4 linked regions of the Schizosaccharomyces pombe genome follow. The protein of the gene in region 3 binds, or shares a complex with, the protein of the main gene of each other region. Each region holds a gene or a part of one and is shown on either strand. Other genes may lie near its edges.

The links.
Region 1: alp5 (region 3) and mst1 share a complex: the UniProt entries of both Schizosaccharomyces pombe proteins name them as parts of the nuA4 histone acetyltransferase complex.
Region 2: alp5 (region 3) and vid21 share a complex: the UniProt entries of both Schizosaccharomyces pombe proteins name them as parts of the nuA4 histone acetyltransferase complex.
Region 4: alp5 (region 3) and eaf7 share a complex: the UniProt entries of both Schizosaccharomyces pombe proteins name them as parts of the nuA4 histone acetyltransferase complex.

The regions. Positions count from the first base shown.
Region 1 is NC_003424.3:4,558,587-4,564,777, reverse strand, and holds mst1 (histone acetyltransferase, KAT5 family Mst1), read left to right. Parts: upstream 1-1,948; 5' UTR 1,949-2,002; coding exon 2,003-3,394; 3' UTR 3,395-3,541; coding exon of another isoform or gene 3,542-5,485; 3' UTR 5,486-5,677; downstream 5,678-6,191. Other genes in the region: slm1 (cytoskeletal signaling protein), read left to right, coding at 1-884; ATP-dependent RNA helicase Rpm2, read right to left, coding at 3,542-5,485; 19S proteasome regulatory subunit Rpn10, read left to right, coding at 6,142-6,167. UniProt on the Schizosaccharomyces pombe protein: Catalytic component of the NuA4 histone acetyltransferase (HAT) complex which is involved in epigenetic transcriptional activation of selected genes principally by acetylation of nucleosomal histones H4, H3, H2B, H2A and H2A variant H2A.Z.
Region 2 is NC_003421.2:979,038-985,437, reverse strand, and holds vid21 (NuA4 histone acetyltransferase complex scaffold subunit Vid21/Eaf1), read right to left. Parts: upstream 4,468-6,400; 5' UTR 4,319-4,467; coding exon 4,310-4,318; intron 4,293-4,309; exon of another isoform or gene 4,228-4,292; coding exon 3,947-4,227; exon of another isoform or gene 3,890-3,946; coding exon 1,195-3,889; 3' UTR 973-1,194; coding exon of another isoform or gene 798-972; 3' UTR 728-797; downstream 1-727. Other genes in the region: sws2 (mitochondrial 37S ribosomal protein uS13m), read left to right, coding at 447-727, 798-972; yapsin Yps1, read left to right, coding at 5,260-6,400. UniProt on the Schizosaccharomyces pombe protein: Component of the NuA4 histone acetyltransferase complex which is involved in transcriptional activation of selected genes principally by acetylation of nucleosomal histone H4 and H2A. The NuA4 complex is also involved in DNA repair.
Region 3 is NC_003423.3:2,011,045-2,015,505, reverse strand, and holds alp5 (Ino80, NuA4 and Swr1 complex actin-like protein Arp4), read right to left. Parts: upstream 2,508-4,461; 5' UTR 2,445-2,507; coding exon 1,143-2,444; 3' UTR 501-1,142; downstream 1-500. Other genes in the region: GINS complex subunit Psf1, read right to left, coding at 1-6; DNA-directed RNA polymerase I complex subunit Rpa2, read right to left, coding at 3,863-4,461. UniProt on the Schizosaccharomyces pombe protein: Chromatin interaction component of the NuA4 histone acetyltransferase complex which is involved in transcriptional activation of selected genes principally by acetylation of nucleosomal histone H4 and H2A. The NuA4 complex is also involved in DNA repair.
Region 4 is NC_003423.3:4,259,289-4,263,019, forward strand, and holds eaf7 (NuA4 histone acetyltransferase complex subunit Eaf7), read right to left. Parts: upstream 2,174-3,731; 5' UTR 2,032-2,173; coding exon 1,875-2,031; exon of another isoform or gene 1,785-1,874; coding exon 1,651-1,784; exon of another isoform or gene 1,589-1,650; coding exon 1,061-1,588; 3' UTR 524-1,060; downstream 1-523. Other genes in the region: RNA-binding protein Cip1, read right to left, coding at 3,185-3,731. UniProt on the Schizosaccharomyces pombe protein: Component of the NuA4 histone acetyltransferase complex which is involved in transcriptional activation of selected genes principally by acetylation of nucleosomal histone H4 and H2A. The NuA4 complex is also involved in DNA repair.

The sequences.
Region 1 (6,191 bases), on a different chromosome or scaffold from region 3:
ATCACTCCGTAGCAGTGGCACAGCTTCAAGAATTTTCTTTTCGTTTCGAGCAAAACCTTATCGCAAAAATTAAAGACACGGTTAAGCAGTTTGAGGGCATGATGAATCAAACCCATGTCAAAGCTATTAATCACCTCCAAGAAGTTGTTCGCGTATCAGAAGCACAAACCCTTGCTGGCGAGTGGACCGGATACGCAAAGCGTGAGCCGGAATTTATTCATGGCTCTGTTCCCCCCCGCAGCGTTGATGCTATAAAATATCCTGGTAAGAATGACCAACCCACTGTACCTATCATGGCTGGTTATTTAATTCGTAAAACAAGTTTTTTAAAGAAAAAACAAAGAGGTTTTTATGCCTTTACACATTCTGGCTATCTTTACGAATTTAAATCTTCTGATTCACTTCAAGATCCTGAACCCGAATTCGCCCTTTACATACCTGATTGTCTGATCGGTCGCCCTTCTGAGAAGAAACCCAAGTTTAAAATAACTGGCAAGGATGCTACTAAGAAAATTTTTGGCGCGCGAAACGATTACGCGTTTCGCGCTTCTAACAACACCGAACTAATGAGATGGTGGGAAGCGTTGAATACCCATATTGCTAATGTGAACTATATACAACCTTTAAGCAACGCAAATGGTCCATCAGCTGTTTCCGACAGTGATGATGATGATGATGATCCAAATGACTTCCGTCCAGCCGTCGAGCGTCAAAGTTCTACGATGAATACCCGTATGTCGCAACCAAGCTCTGCTGTCAATACAAATCGAAGTTATGGTTCGGAACAAATTCCCTCATACGCAGATAGCCAAGGAAATTCTGGCGCCAACAACAACTTTATTTACAACGCTAGTGCTACTGGTCATAATGCTTGGAATGTATAAAGATTGTATATTCGCAAATTAGGTACGAAATGTGCTCATGTATATTTGTTACACTGCCGTTGTGTTTTAAATGGCAGTCTTTGTAACTCCCCCATACCCGTCTTAATTGTATCTTTTTGATTCCCGTTTAAAGCACTTGAATGTTGATTGTGAACCATTTTACTGTTACTGTAATGAATTCATGATAGTGTTTCTTGATATATAGTGAACTTTTGAAACACCAGTCAACAAATATATAGGTATTATATATAAACTCAGAATAAATACATTTTCTGTTCACCCATACCTGTGGCTGATGACTGTTTCAATCGGGAAAGTTACTTTTTAATGTAGCAGGTTTCATTCCGATATATCTCAACCGCTCGTTTCATGTTTATTAATTTAGCAGCTGGGATGATGGTATATACCTTGTAAATAAAGTGCCTAACATACTTTTATTGGTTTTTGTGAATTAGCTGAGCGCGTTAGTGAAGTAAATTCCCTTAATTATGAAAAGTACTTCTATTATTCCTTATTGGCATTATTCTTTTAATTGGAAACGGAAAACTGAAGAATTGTATTACTGTTTATAGCATTTTCGGTACTTTCTGGACAAATTTCGAATATACTCGTGTTCAAACCCGAGAAAAATATTTTCTAGATTTTTATATTATCAAAGAACACTAATTTTAATTGAGCATTTCAGGATTTTTGAAGTTGATCGTTTAATTTATCACAGCTATCTTGATATGTGTAAAATGAAAGTATTTATTACTCTTTTCATCCTTTCAAAAATTTTATTAATTAATTTACTTTCTATTGGAAACGAAAAGGTTAGCATCGTTTGCTGTAAGCGCAGGTTGAGAATAATTACGTCGATGCTATAATAACGAGCGAAACTCTAACTTTAAAAATCATCTCGCTTAATGAATTTCAAGGTAGCAAAGATTGTAAATTCGTCGAAATTTGCTAAACAATTTAATTTAAAGCAGTAAAGTTCACAAAAAACATACCGACATTTAACGAATCGGTAAAGAAATGTTTTCGAAACTAGCAAAACTCACCACCATGAAAAAAAAATTTTCAGGGTGGCTACACAATTTGTACATGGAATAAGTATCCACTTATTGAGACTCAAGATGTCGAATGATGTTGATGATGAGTCCAAGATTGAAACAAAGTCTTATGAGGCTAAAGACATAGTTTATAAATCCAAAGTCTTTGCATTTAAGGATGGAGAATATCGAAAGGCGGAGATTTTAATGATTCAAAAAAGAACTAGAGGCGTCGTCTACTATGTACACTATAATGACTACAATAAACGTTTAGATGAATGGATTACAATAGATAATATTGATTTATCGAAAGGAATTGAGTATCCACCGCCGGAGAAGCCAAAAAAGGCTCATGGAAAAGGAAAATCCTCAAAACGTCCAAAAGCTGTTGACAGACGACGATCGATTACAGCACCTTCAAAAACTGAGCCTTCGACGCCTTCTACGGAGAAACCTGAACCATCCACCCCTTCTGGAGAAAGTGATCATGGATCAAATGCCGGGAATGAAAGTTTACCGTTATTGGAGGAAGACCACAAGCCCGAAAGTCTTTCAAAAGAACAAGAAGTAGAAAGGTTACGGTTCAGTGGCTCAATGGTTCAAAATCCTCACGAAATAGCTCGAATTCGTAATATAAACAAAATTTGCATAGGAGATCATGAAATTGAACCTTGGTACTTCTCACCGTACCCTAAAGAATTTTCGGAAGTAGATATAGTTTATATTTGCAGTTTTTGTTTCTGCTATTACGGATCTGAGCGACAATTTCAAAGACACCGCGAAAAATGTACATTGCAGCATCCACCCGGAAATGAAATATACCGTGATGACTATATATCCTTTTTTGAAATTGATGGAAGAAAGCAACGTACATGGTGTAGGAATATTTGTCTTTTGTCCAAACTTTTTCTGGATCACAAAATGCTTTACTATGATGTTGATCCCTTTTTGTTTTACTGTATGTGTCGCCGCGATGAATATGGATGTCACTTGGTAGGATATTTCTCAAAAGAAAAAGAGTCCTCCGAAAATTACAACCTTGCTTGTATCTTAACTTTACCTCAATACCAAAGACATGGTTATGGCAAGTTACTCATACAATTTTCTTATGAATTGACCAAGCGTGAGCACAAACACGGCTCACCTGAAAAACCACTTTCTGATTTGGGGTTGATTAGTTATCGAGCGTATTGGGCTGAACAAATCATCAACCTTGTGCTTGGAATGCGAACTGAAACCACTATTGACGAATTAGCCAACAAAACTTCAATGACTACTAATGATGTGCTACATACACTTCAAGCACTAAATATGCTTAAATATTACAAAGGTCAATTTATTATCTGTATTTCAGATGGAATTGAGCAACAATACGAAAGATTGAAGAACAAAAAAAGAAGAAGGATCAATGGAGATTTGTTGGCAGATTGGCAACCTCCTGTTTTTCACCCTTCCCAACTACGATTTGGATGGTAATTCTGTACAAAGAATGGATTAGATGCTGGTCGTCTTTCTTAAAAAAAAAAAAAATTCTCATAATTAAAGTATCTCCTAGATATATATTAATGATACTTAAAGTTTGAAGGAATAGAGACTAATTTGTAACCTTTTATTTCATTTTAGTTACTTTTGTAATTTCGATATTCCTTTGATTAGAAAAGCCTCTGCTATTGCCTTGGTTTTTTCGGCTGCTCCATTTTGCAGGATAGCTGGATATCGTATACTAGCCCACATGTATGCTACTATTAATTTGTGAAGCTGCTCTAGTTGTTGTAACTCGGTTTCAGTGGTTGGAATTCCGCGTTCTAATATTTCCAAAGGTACAGACTTCAAATCATATATTTGCAGACGTTTTCCTTGAGCGATAACACATCCGATTTCCCGAATAAATAGTGGTGCGTATTTAGAATGCTTTAACACTGGGCACCCTAACAATTTGATTTTATCTTTAATGGTTAAACCTTTTATGTGGTCTAAATATTCAATAATGAATGTGCTTAGTGCTCCTTCCGACACAACAAATGGAGTAGTCGTTTTCGCTAACTTAAAGTAACGATCGAAAATTAGCTTTTGAGGAATGTCATCAGAGAATAGTGATAAATATCTAAAGAATAAATCGTCCTTAGCTCCAATACAAGCATTGAATAAGTTCTTTGTAGGAAGATTCATGGCGCGATTTAATTTCGCAAAATCTTTTTGATATAGGGTAGTTACTATTCCAGCACTTTGCTTAGATCCATTGGGATTATGTCGGCCAGCTCTTCCTGCTATCTGCTTAATTTGTGGTACAGGGATGTCTATAGTGGAAACTCCACTAAACTTTTTTAAATCGCTGAAAACAATACGCTTTACGCCTAAGTTGAGACCCATACCAATGGCATCGGAGGCCAGCAAAATATTTTCATCAGAACTCTTTGAATTAAATAAGCTTGCTTGTTGATTACGGACTTCAGGAGGCAGTGAACCATAAATAACGGCAGATTTTTTTCCTAATGCTTGATCAATTTTAGACTTCAAAGTAAAAATGTTTTTCCTTGAAAAAGCCACAACACAATCCCCGTCTTTGAGTTCACTTAACTTTCCATTTAAGCTCTTTTCTGCAACGTGGAGAGGATTTAACCGTTCGTATCTGTAAACAGTAAAATCATCTTGGGTCATTTTAGCAATTGAACGCACTAATTTAACAACACTTTCTTCTCCGCATAAATGAATTTCCTTAGCCTGCAAGCCAAGCAAGCATTGAGTCCAAGCATATCCCCGTGAAGGATCAGCCATCATTTGGATTTCATCAATGACTGCAACATCAAAAGTAGTAGATAAGTTGCACATTTCTACAGTACATGAAACAACCTGAGGGAAAGGATAATCATTTCTAATCTCTTCCCCTGTGTAAAGATTACAAGCTATTCCGTTTGCTTGCAAGCGATTATAGATTTCGTGAGCCAAAAGTCTTAAAGGGCCAGCAAATATACCTTTCTTGCAAGTCTTAAGTCTTTCTAAAGCCCTATGTGTTTTCCCGCTATTCGTTGGGCCGACATGCATAATGATATGCCTTCTGAGTTTTCTCGCTCCTGGATACCACTCAATTGGATTTTTTAAATCTGTTAATTGCTTTTGTAAGTCAGGTCTTGTTTCTTCTATTCGCTCTTGATATCGTACATACTTCCGATACTCTGAGAGTAAACAATCATGGATCTTTTTTATTTTCTGAAGGTCAAAAGTAGAAGAAGATTTTGAAAGAGCCAATGATTTATCAGAGTTTTTTAAGTCAGAAAATCCTAAATCTGTAAGGATATTCTTTTTTAACTCATAATAGTATACATTCTGAAAGACACTGGCATCCTTGCAGACATTGACAAAGTCTTGGGCTAAGTATGCTTGTTTTGACGAAAGTTCTTTGGAAGCAAATAAATATGCAGTGAAGCGATTGAGGGCAGCAGCCCACAAGGTATTTCCTGGGAATTTCCTTTGTTGAAAAACATCCTTTGATAAAGTGTGAATTCTAGCAGACTTGCTAAAAAACGGTACACAAAACGTTACGCCATGAATCAAAGTTTCCAAAAACATTCCTGGCGAGTTAAAATCTTTCTAGCAATGCTCTATTGCTGGCCGCCCTGTAACCAGAGCAAAACTTAATCCAAGTATTTAAAGTAATTTAAAAACAAGAAATGTTTATATAGAAAATTAAATACTTCTCAAACGTCTGAAGGTCCCTGGCTTTATCGCTTTTAAAAATATTACCTTCTATTAATTAAAAAAGGAAAAAAAAAGTAATAATTTGACTACGAGATTCAGTCAAGTTGCCTGCTGAGGCCTCTAATATGTTATACCAACAGCTCTGCATGTATCTCCAAAAAATTAGTATCTCAGCAGTACCCTTTAAATTCCAGTTTTCCGCTTCAGTAAATATATAAAATTTTTTAAAAAGCGTTTATTACCTACACTTGTATTATAACAATTTCACGCATTTGGTGTTGGCTTTCGATTATTTACGCGTGCTGTAAGAAATTAGAGAACCTGTGGATTCGAACAGGAAATGAATTGTGTATCACCATGTTTTTCGATGTTTCATTTTGTGATGCGTTACATATCGTTATCCGAGAATGACTAGAGAAGGTGAGTAGTAATACCTTGTCTAGTTCACTTTGCAACACATCTTCTGTAATCTACCAAGCGTTCTTTCAAATTTCTTCGCATTAAGTTTTAAATTATAGGTCTTCAAGATGGTGTTAGAAGCAACGATGATTCTGTAAGAATTTATTTTTGTTAAATT
Region 2 (6,400 bases), on a different chromosome or scaffold from region 3:
TTTCAATAATAAATTTTAAACTGAGACCATTGAACGAAGGGATCATTTGAGTTCATAAATTTTAAAATTTGAACAGAAAAGGAAGGCCTTTGACGATATCTCTTCTTTATTTGTTTTTCTTCGTCTTACCTTGCCCTATTTATGGTCTTCTTAAACATCAAATTACACCTTAGATAGTAGCTCTTTAATGATTACTCAAATTGTCTTTTATTACTAGGCCCGGAGTCTGTACAATCTAACTAGTTTTCTAAAAATATGAGAGATCCAACTGTGTATTATATCTAAACACCACCACTCCACTCTTTTACAAGAAAGCCTAATACTTATATTCAGAACGGTTTTAAGCTCTCTGATTACTGATAGAGAACTGAATTACAAAACCAAATTGTCCACTTCATTATTGAGCTGGTTTCTGTCTCATCTGTTGATATCTGAGATTTTGCATCATGGTATACATACTTGGAGTGGCTGTAAACGACGATAAACCTGTGCGGTTTGCTCTACTTTCTTTTTATGGAATTGGACATGCCAAGGCTGAAGAAATATGCGCAAAATTATCATTTCACAATACGTTAAGGGTTCGAGAGCTGACAAATGTTCAATTGACAACGTTGTCGCAACTGCTATCAGGAATGACTATTGAAGGTGACTTACGGCGTCAACGGAATGCTGATATCTCAAGATTGGTGAATATCCGATGCTATCGGGGAATGAGACATGTAAACGGGTATGAAAAGATCATTTGTGAACGTAGCTGTCTTCGACAACTTTTTCAACTTAACTAATGAATATTTCAGGTTACCCGTTAATGGACAGAACACTCGGACGAATGCAAAGACTGCTAAGAAGCTAAACAAAGTCCCACGACGAGGTTATATGACACTGTCGCCCGCTTCTACAAGGCCCATCACATGGAGTTTTTGTCTACCGAGAATGGTGTCTGTCTTTCAAAAATTAAAACATATTCATTAGCTAAAATAACGTTTATGAAATCAAACTTCACTTATCATGTACACTTCGTATTACCTCGATTTGCTTGATTCTGTTAAAAAACCAACAACCGGGATACGAAAATGAAAACGTATTCTATTTTTATTGTGTGAGAGAAAAAGCTCTCGCCTCGTAATTTCCTTCTAATATACAACAGCACTCAAAAAAAATACAATAAATCGAAAAATTGCATTGAGGCGATACTTACTGTGTCCTTTCAGTAGTAGGTACAGTTTGCTTCCTTTGCTGCAACTGATGAATTTGTTCAGGTGTTAGTTTTAAAGAACTGGAAACAGCGTATGGCTGAAGCCTGGGGACCATTCTACCAGCTATAGGCGAGACACCCGCTGATGAATTGTTACTACTATTTTGTGAAGCAGCTACAGCTTGAAAGGCTGCTAGTTGCTGGTTGTGTTGTTGTGCACCAGCAGCAACAGCGGCGTTTTGCGGCCGTAGAGCCCTGTTTTGTGATTGCAATTGTGCAAAGTTTCTCTGAGCCTGTATTTGCTGTATTTGTGCCTCACGCTCAGATTTCAAACGAGAAAGTTCGAGAGGGGAAGGAACCGGCGGCAATTTTTCAGTTGAAGCTGCAGATGGTGCAATCGCTCTCTTGGTCATAGTGGGTTTTTTAGCAAACTCTCTCTTTTTAAGGATCTTTCGTATAGCTTCAAATATAGTAATGGGTCGGTAATGTCTTGATACAGTTGGCAATAAGAAGTAAGAATTATGTTTAATCAAATGGTTAGGTGTTCCTTCATCCCGTAAGGATAGATGTTGGCTAACTTTATCCGAATGTCTTAAGGATTCATCTAATTTCTGCTGAGCGAGTCTTGCATGGGAGCCAGTCAATTGGACATTGGCGGCTCTGGGATCCACTTGAATCCATCTTTCAAAACAATCCCACGCAGTCCGCTTCTCGGCAAGCGGTATGTACAAACCTGGTGGTGTTAACCTACTGGCAACAAATTCCCAATTAAAGGAATATCGTCGCAAGAGTAATAAAAGGAGTTCATCTTCTTCGGGCAACCAAGGGGCTTCTGGACGAATATCTTTACTAGAAGGCGGATACGGAGGCCGCACACTAAAGGTTCCTACTGAGGATAGCTTCTGATTATCATCCTTAATTTTATTTCCATCTAGCTGGTTCTCATCGCTTCTCGCCTTCTTTTCCATAAACGACTCAGGTGGTGATAATTCCAATTGGTTGAACAAACGTTTCCTAGAAGCCTTTGCACAGGTGGATTTAAGCTTTGTTTTGGCATATGCAAAACGTGACACAGGAGTGATCGGGTACTTTTCAGATATTTCTTCACAATATTCATTGTTTTCAGTAGGAGGACCGTACATAGGAACGTTTAAAACGCAGTTCTGAATTTGTTCGGAGTTTGTTGTCACAAATATATCATCCGAAAAAACAGCATTATAAAACTGTAAAGAATCCCTGGGAATAGAGAGCACTTTGTTGTTATTATTATCATTTAGATTAAAATGGCTCACTATTTGTTCATTAAACGTTTCCTCGTGAGAGTCTTTCTGATGTTCATTCTCTTGCATGTACGGCTTCTTATTCTTTGACAACGAAGCCGGAGTACAAACAGTACATTTATCACTAGCTTGATGGTAATCCATTACCCAATTCGCCATTCTATGAGCCAATATAATTTTCCATTTACGCTCTTGAGAAAAATCAATTGACATCCATTGCATCTCATCCAAAACATAATCCCGATGAGTTTTCAATCGTGGCATCTCGTTTTGTCTTTTGGGCTGTCTAAAGGACCAAATACCTTTTTCTTTTGCAACCGTTAAATGATGTAGTGATTGTCGTACAATTTCCTCGCGATACGCATGAGACCAGTTATCTGATAGAACATATTTATGTGCATTTTTCAACCTTAAATGTAAAGGCGACATTTCTGTTCGAAGCAGCCATGCTTCTGAGGAAAGCTCTGGTTTCACCGGTTCAGAAAATTTTGAAGGAGGAATTAAAGTTAGTGGCATAGATACAGAAAGTTCAAAAAGCGGAGCTTCAACCCCAGTTCTGTCAATTGTAGGGGATTTTTCCGATGGTAACTTATTTTCCATTTGTAATTTACTAGGCTCAACAATTTCATCTACTGGCTTCTCGTTGACATCAACCGCTACTTCCTGAACAGGAGATTCAGTGGCCTTGTCAACGGAAATGATTTGTTGTTCCGAAGGAATCTCTTGATTATTTAATAATTGTATAGTTTTTTCAATATCAATACCTGATTGTACATTCTCAACATCATTTTCAGTGACCTTGGCTTCAGGAGAATGAACTTCTTCAACTTCATCAACCTTTGGGACTTTATCTTCAATTTCCAAAACTTCTGCAACAGTGACAGGGGGAGCCGTAGGTTCCGTTGTCTCTGATACCTCTTTCTTTTTCACTTCTTTAGACTCAACTTGATCAGTCGCAACCTCTACCGGTTTGGTAACGGTCACATTTTCTTCATTCCCATCTTCCTCATGTTCCTTTTCGGTAGCTTCAACCACTCTTAATTGCTTATCGACTCCTTCTTCTTGAGAGGATTTGTTTGCAAGTTCTTCGGTAAGCTGTCGAGCAGCATACTCGCTATCTGGCGTCAAAGGGCCTTTTTCCTCTTCAGCATGAGCAGTGGTTTCCACTTCTTTTACGGGTGTTGTTGGTTCAATAGTTTCTTTCTCTTCTACGTCAATATTTTTATGTATAGTTTCAGGTGAAGGTATGGGAGATTTTGACGTTATAATTTCCTCCTCGCTAAGTTCTAGGGAAGTTTCTTTTAAAGGTGTCTCCTCTGAAACTCCTTCCAAATTATCGGGTTCTTCGGGAACTATCGGTTCTTCAACGATAGGAGTTACAGATTCTCTAGCTGAAAGATTAAAATTTCGCCCCCTTGCATGTTAGTTGTACATTTGAGGAAAATACAAAAAGTTACTCAATGAGACATACCTTTTAAAACGATACTTTTGATAAAAGTTAAACCACTCAGAAACTTGCTCTGGTAAAAGATCACTTGATGAATGAAGCCATTCTAATCCATTAGGAAACTTGCAATGCAACCAAAATAAAAGAAGTAACTTTTCATGTTTCTCTTTTGTTAACTTAATCTCTTCATTGTCTACAGAGTCGTTTTCTTCTTCTTCGTCTAGAGTAAAAAGGGAGGCAAAAGAATCTGTTATCGATAATTTTTCACCATCGACTAAAGCAATTTGACTGGTTTTGGTCTCCTTCTTTTTAATTAAAAATATTAATTAGTTATCGAAGTACAATAAAATTATCACTTTAAGGCCCGTAAGACTCGTAAAAACGTACCTGTTTCATAATCCCAATTTAAGCGGAATTACGCTGGAAAAAGCATACAAATCGTATTCTAGAAAAGACACAGTTTTGCTTTTATATTTATTGTATGATGATATAAAGAACTCAAGGATCCTGTATACTTTCAGACCTAATGTGAACGAAGTTAGTCTGATGGTGTTGAGGCCCCCCAAGGGATTTGAGCCCGCAATCAACCACCATATTAGGTGAAGTAGAAAAACAAGGAAATAGCACTCTACTAGGACACAGTTTTGAACTACAAGTACAGCAATAAGACTGTCTTTTATTTTCGTCTTTTTGTTGCTCGGAGAAATCGCTTGTTCTATTTAAAAGTTGAGACGTTACCATAAAGGTTATCGGCATATTTCAAAGCTTTAAAAACGTTTCCCTTTCAACTTAAATTATTCAAAAATACATTCAGTTGAGCTACATGCCAAACCTACTATCATATCATTCTAAAAAAACTATCGTTAAGTGATCTATTTCTCCCTTATTTTCAATTTGTATTTATTATTTTACGACGTGCTAGGAATTGTGAAAGACTCTTATTTATGATCAAGTTTTTCTAGATTTTTGCGTTGCATTTGGTTTTTACATGCATCTATTGCTCATCCCTTGAGGATTATTTCCACTTTCTGTTGTGGATTTTCTTTTCTTTATAAAGCAAGATTGCCAAATTGTTGCTCCCAACATAACAAGGGATAATAACAATTCATCGTTGCTTTCGTTAAAACATTCTTTCATCAAAAGAACTCGGCACCTGCTCTTTATTCTACTTTGCATTTTTGTTTTAGTTCCGTTTTGCATATTCTTATTTCTTCTTCTCATATTACTTTATTCTTATTCTTTATTTCTCTTTTTATCTGATAATCACCTTGGTCATTTTAATTTACCTCTATGTAAACATTCTTGCATCTATATTTTCTTCTAATTATTTAAGGATTATGAGGATTTGGATTTTAATATTTTTCTCCTTCATTAAACTTGTCTCTTCGTTACAATATACGGGAAATGGTGTTTTAGCTTTGGACTTCGTTGCGAAAACTTTTCCCAACCAGGAAAATCAATTAGAGAAGCGTGACTATACTTATTCTCCATCTGGTATCACTTCATTTCCTTTAGATTTGCAGAGTTACACTTACTACACTACTACCCTTTCGATCGGTCGTCCGAGTATTTCGTACACTGTAGCTATAGATTTGGACATGCCGTACACATGGTTGACTTACTACAATGTAATGGCGTTTAATCCAGCGTATCTTGGCATAGTGAATAGTGGTACTCAGTGGAGTACGGATGAACTGCGATACTTTCTTTGTAAAAAAGAAAGTGATTCTTGTTATTTTGGGAATGCATCTTCTAGCTTCCATTTTGTTACGAGTCCAAGCACTTTTTTTATCCGCTATGACGATAACATTACAGTTGCTGGAATTAATGTTCAGGACTCCCTTTCTTACAGTCATTATCAAGCTTTACCGGACTTCCAATTCGGCATCACATTAAAGGAGTATGTTCCCAGTTCAATGCTGCCGTACAAAGGCGTGCTAGGTTTAGCTGCCAGTACCGAAATTAATTCAATAGATTATTCGGATTCCATTTCAAGTTTTTCACCACCAACCTTTTTGGAACAACTAGTTAAAGAGGATATATTGGCATACCCTGCTTTTAGTATGTATCTGGATAATCAGGGTAATGGAAGTTTACTTTTGGGAGCCGTGGATACGTCAAAGTACCAGGGACAGTTTGTCGCTTTGAAGCAGACTAAGCTTACGCATTACGCCGTTTCCATTTACTCTGTGCAGTTCTTAAACTCTACGTTCTTTTCTAATTATTCTATCATCACTGATGCATACTTTCAAACTCGTGAAACTTATATTTATTTGCCTGCCGAATTGGCTTACAGTGTGATGGATAATGCTGGTGCCTACTTATCCGAAGGCTATTTCGCATTAAACTGTGATGAAATTGATTTGGAAGCCGCTCTGATATTTCAATTTGGATGTAATTCAACTATCAAGGTACCGATATCGTTGCTAGTGATTGGGCAAGTTTCAAACATATGTCTTTTAGGTATTCGACCTTCGA
Region 3 (4,461 bases):
CTCCATAGTGATTAGAAGCACTAACTATCACGATATGCTTAAACAGATTTTCCTAATTATGTTTAGTTTAAAAGAAACGGATTAGTATAATTAACAACGACACTCGATAGTTGTTTAAAGCTATATTGAATGGTTGTGGATGACAAGTCGTTGGAAAATGACATGTCTTTCATAAGACCATAATGATGCATTCCTTAGTAGAAATTTTACTGTAAATAAAACATGGATCTTTTATAACAAAATTATTAGTTGAACCTACTATGCGAATTTTTAAGAATTTATTATTTAAACATTCACACAGATTTAAAATGAAGCGTATACTTACTTGGATTACCTCAGTTTCATAAAGTAATGTATACTAATTCAAAGGATTGAATGAGCCCTAAAGGTATCATTAAACCGAGTTCCTCACATCGTCACACATGGAATGAAGAGATGATTTAACGAAGCTTCAAATTATCAACTTACAAATCATTGCTACTAAAATTATAGAAACCAGATAAAGTTTCATTTCAAAATAAAAGAAAGGATATCATTCAATGATTACAATTCTCACGTAATATTCAGAACACAGTACGATGTGCTTGCTTCATCGGACAGGGCTTTAAGGGAATAAAACAATCACATTGATGAGAAATTAGAATCTAAAGGGGTACAATTTAAAACCTATCACTCATATCCAAAAAATGGCAAGGCATATTTAGCTTCAAATAATTGAGCTTTAATGTAGCTTAAAATGATTTTGTCAGTAAGACTTTCTTTTCTGCTTACAACATAAAATCCAATCGATGTATTGGCCGTACTCAAAAAAATCCGCTTTATGTATAATCTGCGGAAGATTACACAAATTCAATAGCATGAATATCACAAAGAGCCAACGAACCAGTCCAGAGTAACAATCTGTTACAAAAACAAAACTTTTGATGCTTATTGATGATAGCAAAATACATGATCCAATATTTTCTCTTCAAATGATAGGTATAAGGACAGGGAAAGAGTCTCATACGTAAAGTAATAATATCTCAATTATTTTTTATTTCAAACGAAAGTTTCCCCTTTTTTTCCACTTAAGGAAAATTCCCTAAAATCCAACGACTTTTAATTAAAGGTTCATTAGAGATTAGTAATTATCATTACACGTATTATTTACATCGTTTTTCGATTAAAGCCAAACGATCAGAACCATGTTCTTCATATTCTTGACGTGATATCCATAATTGATGAAACGTTCCAAGACTACTTAAAATAGATCCACCTAACCATGAAGCATAACTGCGTTCAACAACATGACCGGAAGCATGGATTTTAAGACGGCTGCCAGGATATAATTTTGAAAGTTCATTTTGCAGACGAAGAGAGAATCCTTGCATCAAACTAGTGCCTCCACAAACAATAACATTGTTGAGCAAAGAAGCACGGATATCAACATCGCATTCCGAAATACAGTTCTGGAACAACTGAGGTATCCCCAAAATGCGAGAAGAAGTGTTGGTAACCGAAGAATCTTGTTGTGATACCTCATTATTTTCGGTTTGTTCTATTGGCTTCGAAGGTTCCTCGTTCATTTCTTCATCACTTCCTGGCACAAACAAATGTTCAGGAATTTGATAGCGTTCCGCGCCAAACATCATACGGGAACCGTCTGGAAATTCGAACTCTGATTCAGCAATCGTGGTTTCAGATGAAAATGGAACATCGGAAATGAGAGCACATTCTTCTTTCCATTCATCGTAGACTCGCTGGACCTGAAATTGATGATAAGAATCTGTAGTATCACGAGGACGTAACTCACAATTAGCTGGCTGCCCTATCTCCACTGGATTTTTGCTTTTCACTAAGTACTTAGGCATCACTTCGAAATTCTTATCCCTGAGAGTTTGCGCCAAAATATCGTTAATTGCATTCCCAGAAAAATGTTGAACCTGATAGCCTTTTTGAAGCACAAAACCATCATATATAGCAGACACCGAGCTACGCTCCGCACCAATGTCTACTAAACAAGCAGTACCTTTCCCGCTTGCAAACGCCGCACACGTCTCCTGCTTGGCGAGGTATGTTGCAGGACAACGCAAAGATTCAAACATCGTTTCTAGTGTTTTCACTCGATTTTCTGGGGGATTATCAAATGGTTCCGTAATCAAGATTGGATGCTCTAAAGGATTAGTCTTCAACTGCTGCTCTAATCCATAACGCCAGAGATCTACAGTAACATCCCAATTTTCAACCCAACCATTACGAATTGCATTTTTTATTTCCATTCCAGGGTTTGATTTATATATGTATTCCTCACCGAACAACCGTCTGCCATCACTGAACTCTCCACAGTAGCTAGGGAGTACGCATTTGGGAATATCTTCTCCAGAAAAACCTATTCGAGTCCATTTGCTTCCAGGATCAATTACAATAGCTGAAACTTCATCTCCGCCATAAAATGCGCTAGTCATCTTACCAGCAGTACAGTTTGTCTACGTGATAAGATTCTCAGGCAAAAGTTGTCGTTGGCACTTGGACAAGACGCATCGTTGAGATCATGAAATAGGTCGCCAACGGCTTTTCTTAAAAATACCCATCACTCTTTCCTATTTTATTTAGTTGGTTTAATTAATTAAAAATAAGACTTTCATTTAGAAAAGTGTGCATTCTTTAAGCATTCATGCAACGAGAATGTCGCTAATTTTCAAGCTTTTAATAGACGCGTCAAGTAAACTAGGTTTTCAAAAATAAGCATTCATATGAAAGATTGGGCTCATAGCACAAAAAAAAACAATTGTACAAGAAATCCACAATAGTTGAAAAGATAATTATTATGCTCCTAATAAACAAATTCATTTAGTGATTTTTTGAGTTTTTTGCTATAGTCAGCTACGCAGTTTGGTATATATTTAACGATACATAGAATTACGGTGAGTTTCTCTTACGACTTACAATATAGCGGTATGCAGTATGTTAACTAACAATGTATATTTATTGTTATATGAAGTCTATTAATATCGGTTGCCGAAATAGCGTTACAGCCGAACCTCGTTCCTCAGTTCAGTTATGAGCTATATTAGTGATAGGTAACATTATAACCCAGTTAATACAATACCTATACTCAGTTGCTACTCATACAACCTGTGTATTGTAATATAATAGATCACAAGGAAAACTCACCGCAGTTCTACGTATCCTTAAATCAGATACCAAACTGCGTAGCTTACACACTATACTAAATATCGGTTATCTAATATAGTATAATGAAGCACAAAATACAATTTAGCGTGGGTTTCTGTAATTCGTCATTATGCTGCTCTTAAATGTGAACCATGCGAATAGGTATTTTTTATAATTGAGTGCATAGATTTTCTGTAGTTGAGCTGTTCTTAAAATTATAAGATATCAATTCTCTTTTCTCCATACGAATGTGTGCTCACGAATTTGCATCAGATCTCAACCTCTGATTAATCTGCTTCTTTGAACATTCGATCACTCTTTGGTATCAAGTATCTATTAACCAATATATAATACAATTTAAAGCAAAAAGACATCTAATAATAAACTTTTTCTTGTCAATTATGTCTTAGCCGCTTCTTAATCAAAAAGATAAAAATCAATCAATTTATTATTAGTCCACCTAGACCTACCTTTATAGTTTTCTATATAAGTTTTTTTATTAACTCTTCCCCCAAAACAATAAGTAATTTTATATGCAAAACGTAATCCGAAGCAAAAATCAGAAACCTGTTGCGAAAGAAAACAGAATCAAATGGAACTGAAAATACACACATCACCCATGGCATTTTGTCAGTCCTTTTAAAAAAATTTTTTTTAAAGAAGTTGAAAGCGAATATATTAATTTCAATACTCTTTTCAACACTTTAATCTATTTAACTTCAAGCATCATTTTAATATTCATAGCAGTAAGTTCCGCCGTCAAGTAATTGAAAACACTGGGTAATGCGATCAACGTAGTATTTGTGCCGCCGACAAATTTCTTTCCGCTACCATCCTGCCAAATGTCACTGGTATCTTCCAATCCCAAAGCGGGTTTGGCACAGCTTCTGCACCTGACTTCTGAGGCACTTCCTACGCCATTCATCGAAATTGTAGACATGATAGAAATAATAGACCCACAATCTCGACAAACCCAGCTCTGGGCATAATCAGAACAATTCATTAAACGATCCTGCATCAAGAACGATGTGCCATGACCGATAACAGCATCACGTTCCATTTCACCGAAACGAATACCACCAGCACGTTTGCGACCTTTGACGGGTTGACGAGTAAGATTATGAATGGGTCCGGTTGTACGTACTTGAAATTTATCACTAACCATATGGCGAAGACGTTGATAGTAGACAACTCCAATATAAATATCAGCCTTCATCTCCTGTCCTGTGATACCACTATACATAGGCTCGTTTCCATGATAGTTGTAACCAGCCTTAACCAATTGTTCGCCAAAGTAGTCAGCAGCAG
Region 4 (3,731 bases), 2.2 Mb from region 3:
CTGAATAGAGAGACACTAGGATTATCTTTGTTAGTGTACTTCCATTGTTTATTAAACGGTTTCAAGTTTAATTGCTAAAATTGTTTTTATGTTGTTGAATACTAAATATTAATGAGATTTTTGCCTCACAGTATGAAAATTATGTACGATATTAACCTTTCAAGTAAGGGAATCTACGAAACTCTATGAAGTAGATCCCGCTGCATGTTTATGTACCTGAATGCAAGCGCGTTTGTGTATTTTTGATGTCTTTTAAAGGTTTCGCAATGACGGGTTGCTCAGTTTTGCTTTGCTATTAGAGAGCTGTACTTATAGATCTATTGTGTTTTAAAAGTTGTTAAATTCGGCAGACTCTGCTAGGCAATGGTCTGATGTGCCGATAAATAATACATTAACTCATGTGAATACTCAAGTCCGTTTCACCGGAATTGAAAAATTCATTGATCAAATCGTTACCTGTGTAAGGTTTTGAAAACAATTTGCTCATCAATTTGAAAGTAATATGTATACTACCTATTGGAATCTCTCTGTCTATGCGTGTTAAACATACTTTAAAACATATTTCCAACCAAATCGACATTAACATATGGACCTATCGAATTAAAATTGAAAACTCACAGTTAGAAGATTTTTTTTAGCAAGTCAAGCTATCAAACAGTATATATAGCTACATAAAACATCGTAACGAACAGTAAAGAAGTGACGGGATTCAAAAATCGTAGCGGTAAATCAGAGTAAATTTGTTTGTAACAAAGCCGTTCGTCTTTTCCCATTACGTGAATCGAGCATCAAAAAGGAGTAAAACTGCAAAAGCAAATTAGTTTTGGACATGCCGTCGATCCCATTAAACCTATAATTCTGCTAAAACAAATCTCCTTGACATACAAAATATTAGTTGTAGTAAAATCATAATTCTTTTTATTTTTCACTTTTTATAAATCCCTTGTGATAATTAATTTTGGTCTCATATATAAATAACCGTTCATTAGAGTAGACCAAGCATAAATGATATGTACAAATAATCAGTCTTTCCCATCCTAGGTTTTTCTGTTAACAAGAGCTAGGTCGGAGGCCTCCGGCTTCGAGAGCTACGGCGAATAGCTTGGTTTGAAGCTGCCGGTGAAGAAGCAGGCTCTATGGGCTCAGTAGCCATACGCTTTGGAGAACGGGCTGTATTTTGAGAAGATGGCGAGACGGATCTTTTTCGCAAAGTCATGGAACTCTCTTTCTTTTCAGACTTTTCTTTTTTTTCGGGAATAACAGGCTGAATCTTTGGACTTTGCGGCTGTTCAGTAACAGGAGAAATACTTCTAGAAGAGGATCGTAAATTCCGAGAAATTTTCTCTTCTTTAGATTCAAGCTTGACTTTACTTTCCTTCTTCTCTTTCTGTAAATTCGTCTCCTGCTTAACTTCGGGTTCACCGGGTTTAGTTTCTACCGTTTCAATCTCCACTTTTTGAGATGTTTCCAATGGTTTCTCGGATTTTTCTTTTACTTTAAGAATATCTTTTGGTAATTTAAAATCTTTAACATCTGGCGACTTTATTCGTTTTTCTTTCGCCTTAACTTCTTCATTTCCTGGAGCTTCCTAATTTAAAAAACTGTCAACAAATACTTGAAAACAAAAAATTAAAAGGCTTTTTGACATACCAATTCTTCAAACTCTTTCAAATTATAAAGTGTTCCTAATTTATTCCAAACGTCCTGAGCCTTAATTGTTGATCTTTTGCAGCCATCACGAATTTCTCGTAAAATCCCTATCATATAAAAATTTTTTTCTATTCCTATTTTTTAATTAGTGAATGAATGCAATAATTTGATAACATGCAGCTTTTAAAATAAGAGACCGAGCAATTAACCTTTCGAACACTTACCTACAGGGCGCAATCCACGACAAATAGCTTTTAACAGTAAGGTTTCCTCTAAAACAGACCATTCAGTAACAGAATCATTCATATTTGATTCTTTATTTACATCCTCCTGCCTTTTCTGCTCGGCAGCAGTTGATGATCTTGTTCCCCTCGAACTCATAAATACAATTGCTATCCTCTAATACATAGGTTTATATGGGTAAAATAAGAAAATTTCTGTTTCTTAGTTTACTTTTTCTACTAATTTAACTTTATATTATCGGCAATATAGCAGATTATCAATATTTATGGTGTTGTGCGGTACTTCCAGCCATAACTCATGAAACTGGTTTTTATAATATTTTCTTTTTCTAGCTGCAGTAATTACAAGGTCAAGTGTATTTCATCTTTTTTCATAACCTTAACAAAAAATAAAAGTTCATCCAAAAAGAATCGTGCATCTTTGTGTTATCCTTTCTTCATTCTTAAATTCAATAGACATTCAAGTGCAGTAATTGAGTAAGGCTGCGATAACCCATAAAGTATTCTTATTTTAGTGAATCCTTTGTAACTTCCTTTAATTACAACTTACTAACAATGGAACTAAAAGTCCACCATGCTTGCAATTTCTTTTTCTTTTTTACATATAAATCAATTCGCATTATATAGGAAAATTTAACGATATTTTAGGTAATTTTAAAGTAGCTCATTTAAAGCCCTACAAGCTTGGTAGAAAATAGACTTTAAATCGTAGGTTTATTTCTATATCCATAGTACGGTAATACTAAGCTAGGAACATTCACATCCACATAAAGAAGATGATTAAATTTACAAAAATAAAAGTTCAATTTTGTAATATCAGACTAATGTATTTGTCCAAGGTTAAATTTAATCATGTAAAGTATGTGTATATTATACGGTAGGGCATAAATTTCTTATACAAGAAAAATCGTTATAATTTGTAAAAAAATAGGAGCATCGCTCATCCGTTGATTATCGTCATAAAACATTATGCCTCACCCAACATATATCCATCATTGATTGCTGTTAAGTCGAGTCGTCCAAATGTGTCGTGGGAATTCAAAACGATAAAATATAAGCTTCTAAGTATTTAAAAGGATTATTTGCTGGATAACCAACTATGTGAAAGGGAAAACAAAAAATCAACAAAATGAAGCCCATAGAGTTTAGATTCATCAGAAGTAAGTGATAAAGGGATAAAGAGCAAAATTTAGTCAAAACAAATAGCGTATAGTAAATGCATCTATAGTTGGCGTAAACAAAAATCATATCTTAAAAGGTACATAAACAGTTTCTTTATAATTGCATAGACTCTAAAAGTGGGAGACACCAAAACTCTGCTTGGAAGCGGAGGTAGAAGCATCATTATCATTTTTTGAATTGAAAGGTGAACTCAAAGTAGAAGCCTTTTGAAGCGGTGATTCATTTCCATAAATTTTGTCGTCAATCGAACGAAGTTGGTTTGTCAATGGTACTGCGAAACTGGGAGGTGGGGTTATAGGGGCACTCTTAGTACCATTCAATGAATGCTCTTGCAAAAATCGAGTAGCTAACGGTGCCGGCATATTAAATCTTAAATTTGGAGATGCAGGTTGCGACTGACTTACGCTCGTATTCTTTTTATTCGGATGAGTAACTACTAATTTTAACACCTCTCCATTCGGGCGAGCATAGTAATCGAGATCAAAGTACAGGCAAAAGATTCTAATGGCATTTAGAAGGTTTCCGTCCTTAGAAGTGGTTTCAAATGTTATTTCACGAGAAGGAATGCATTGATGAGCAAACAATAGAAGTCTACTATAAGTTTCAAGGGTACCAGTGTCATTCAAATTTAAGCCTTGATCAGTAAAGCTAACTTCA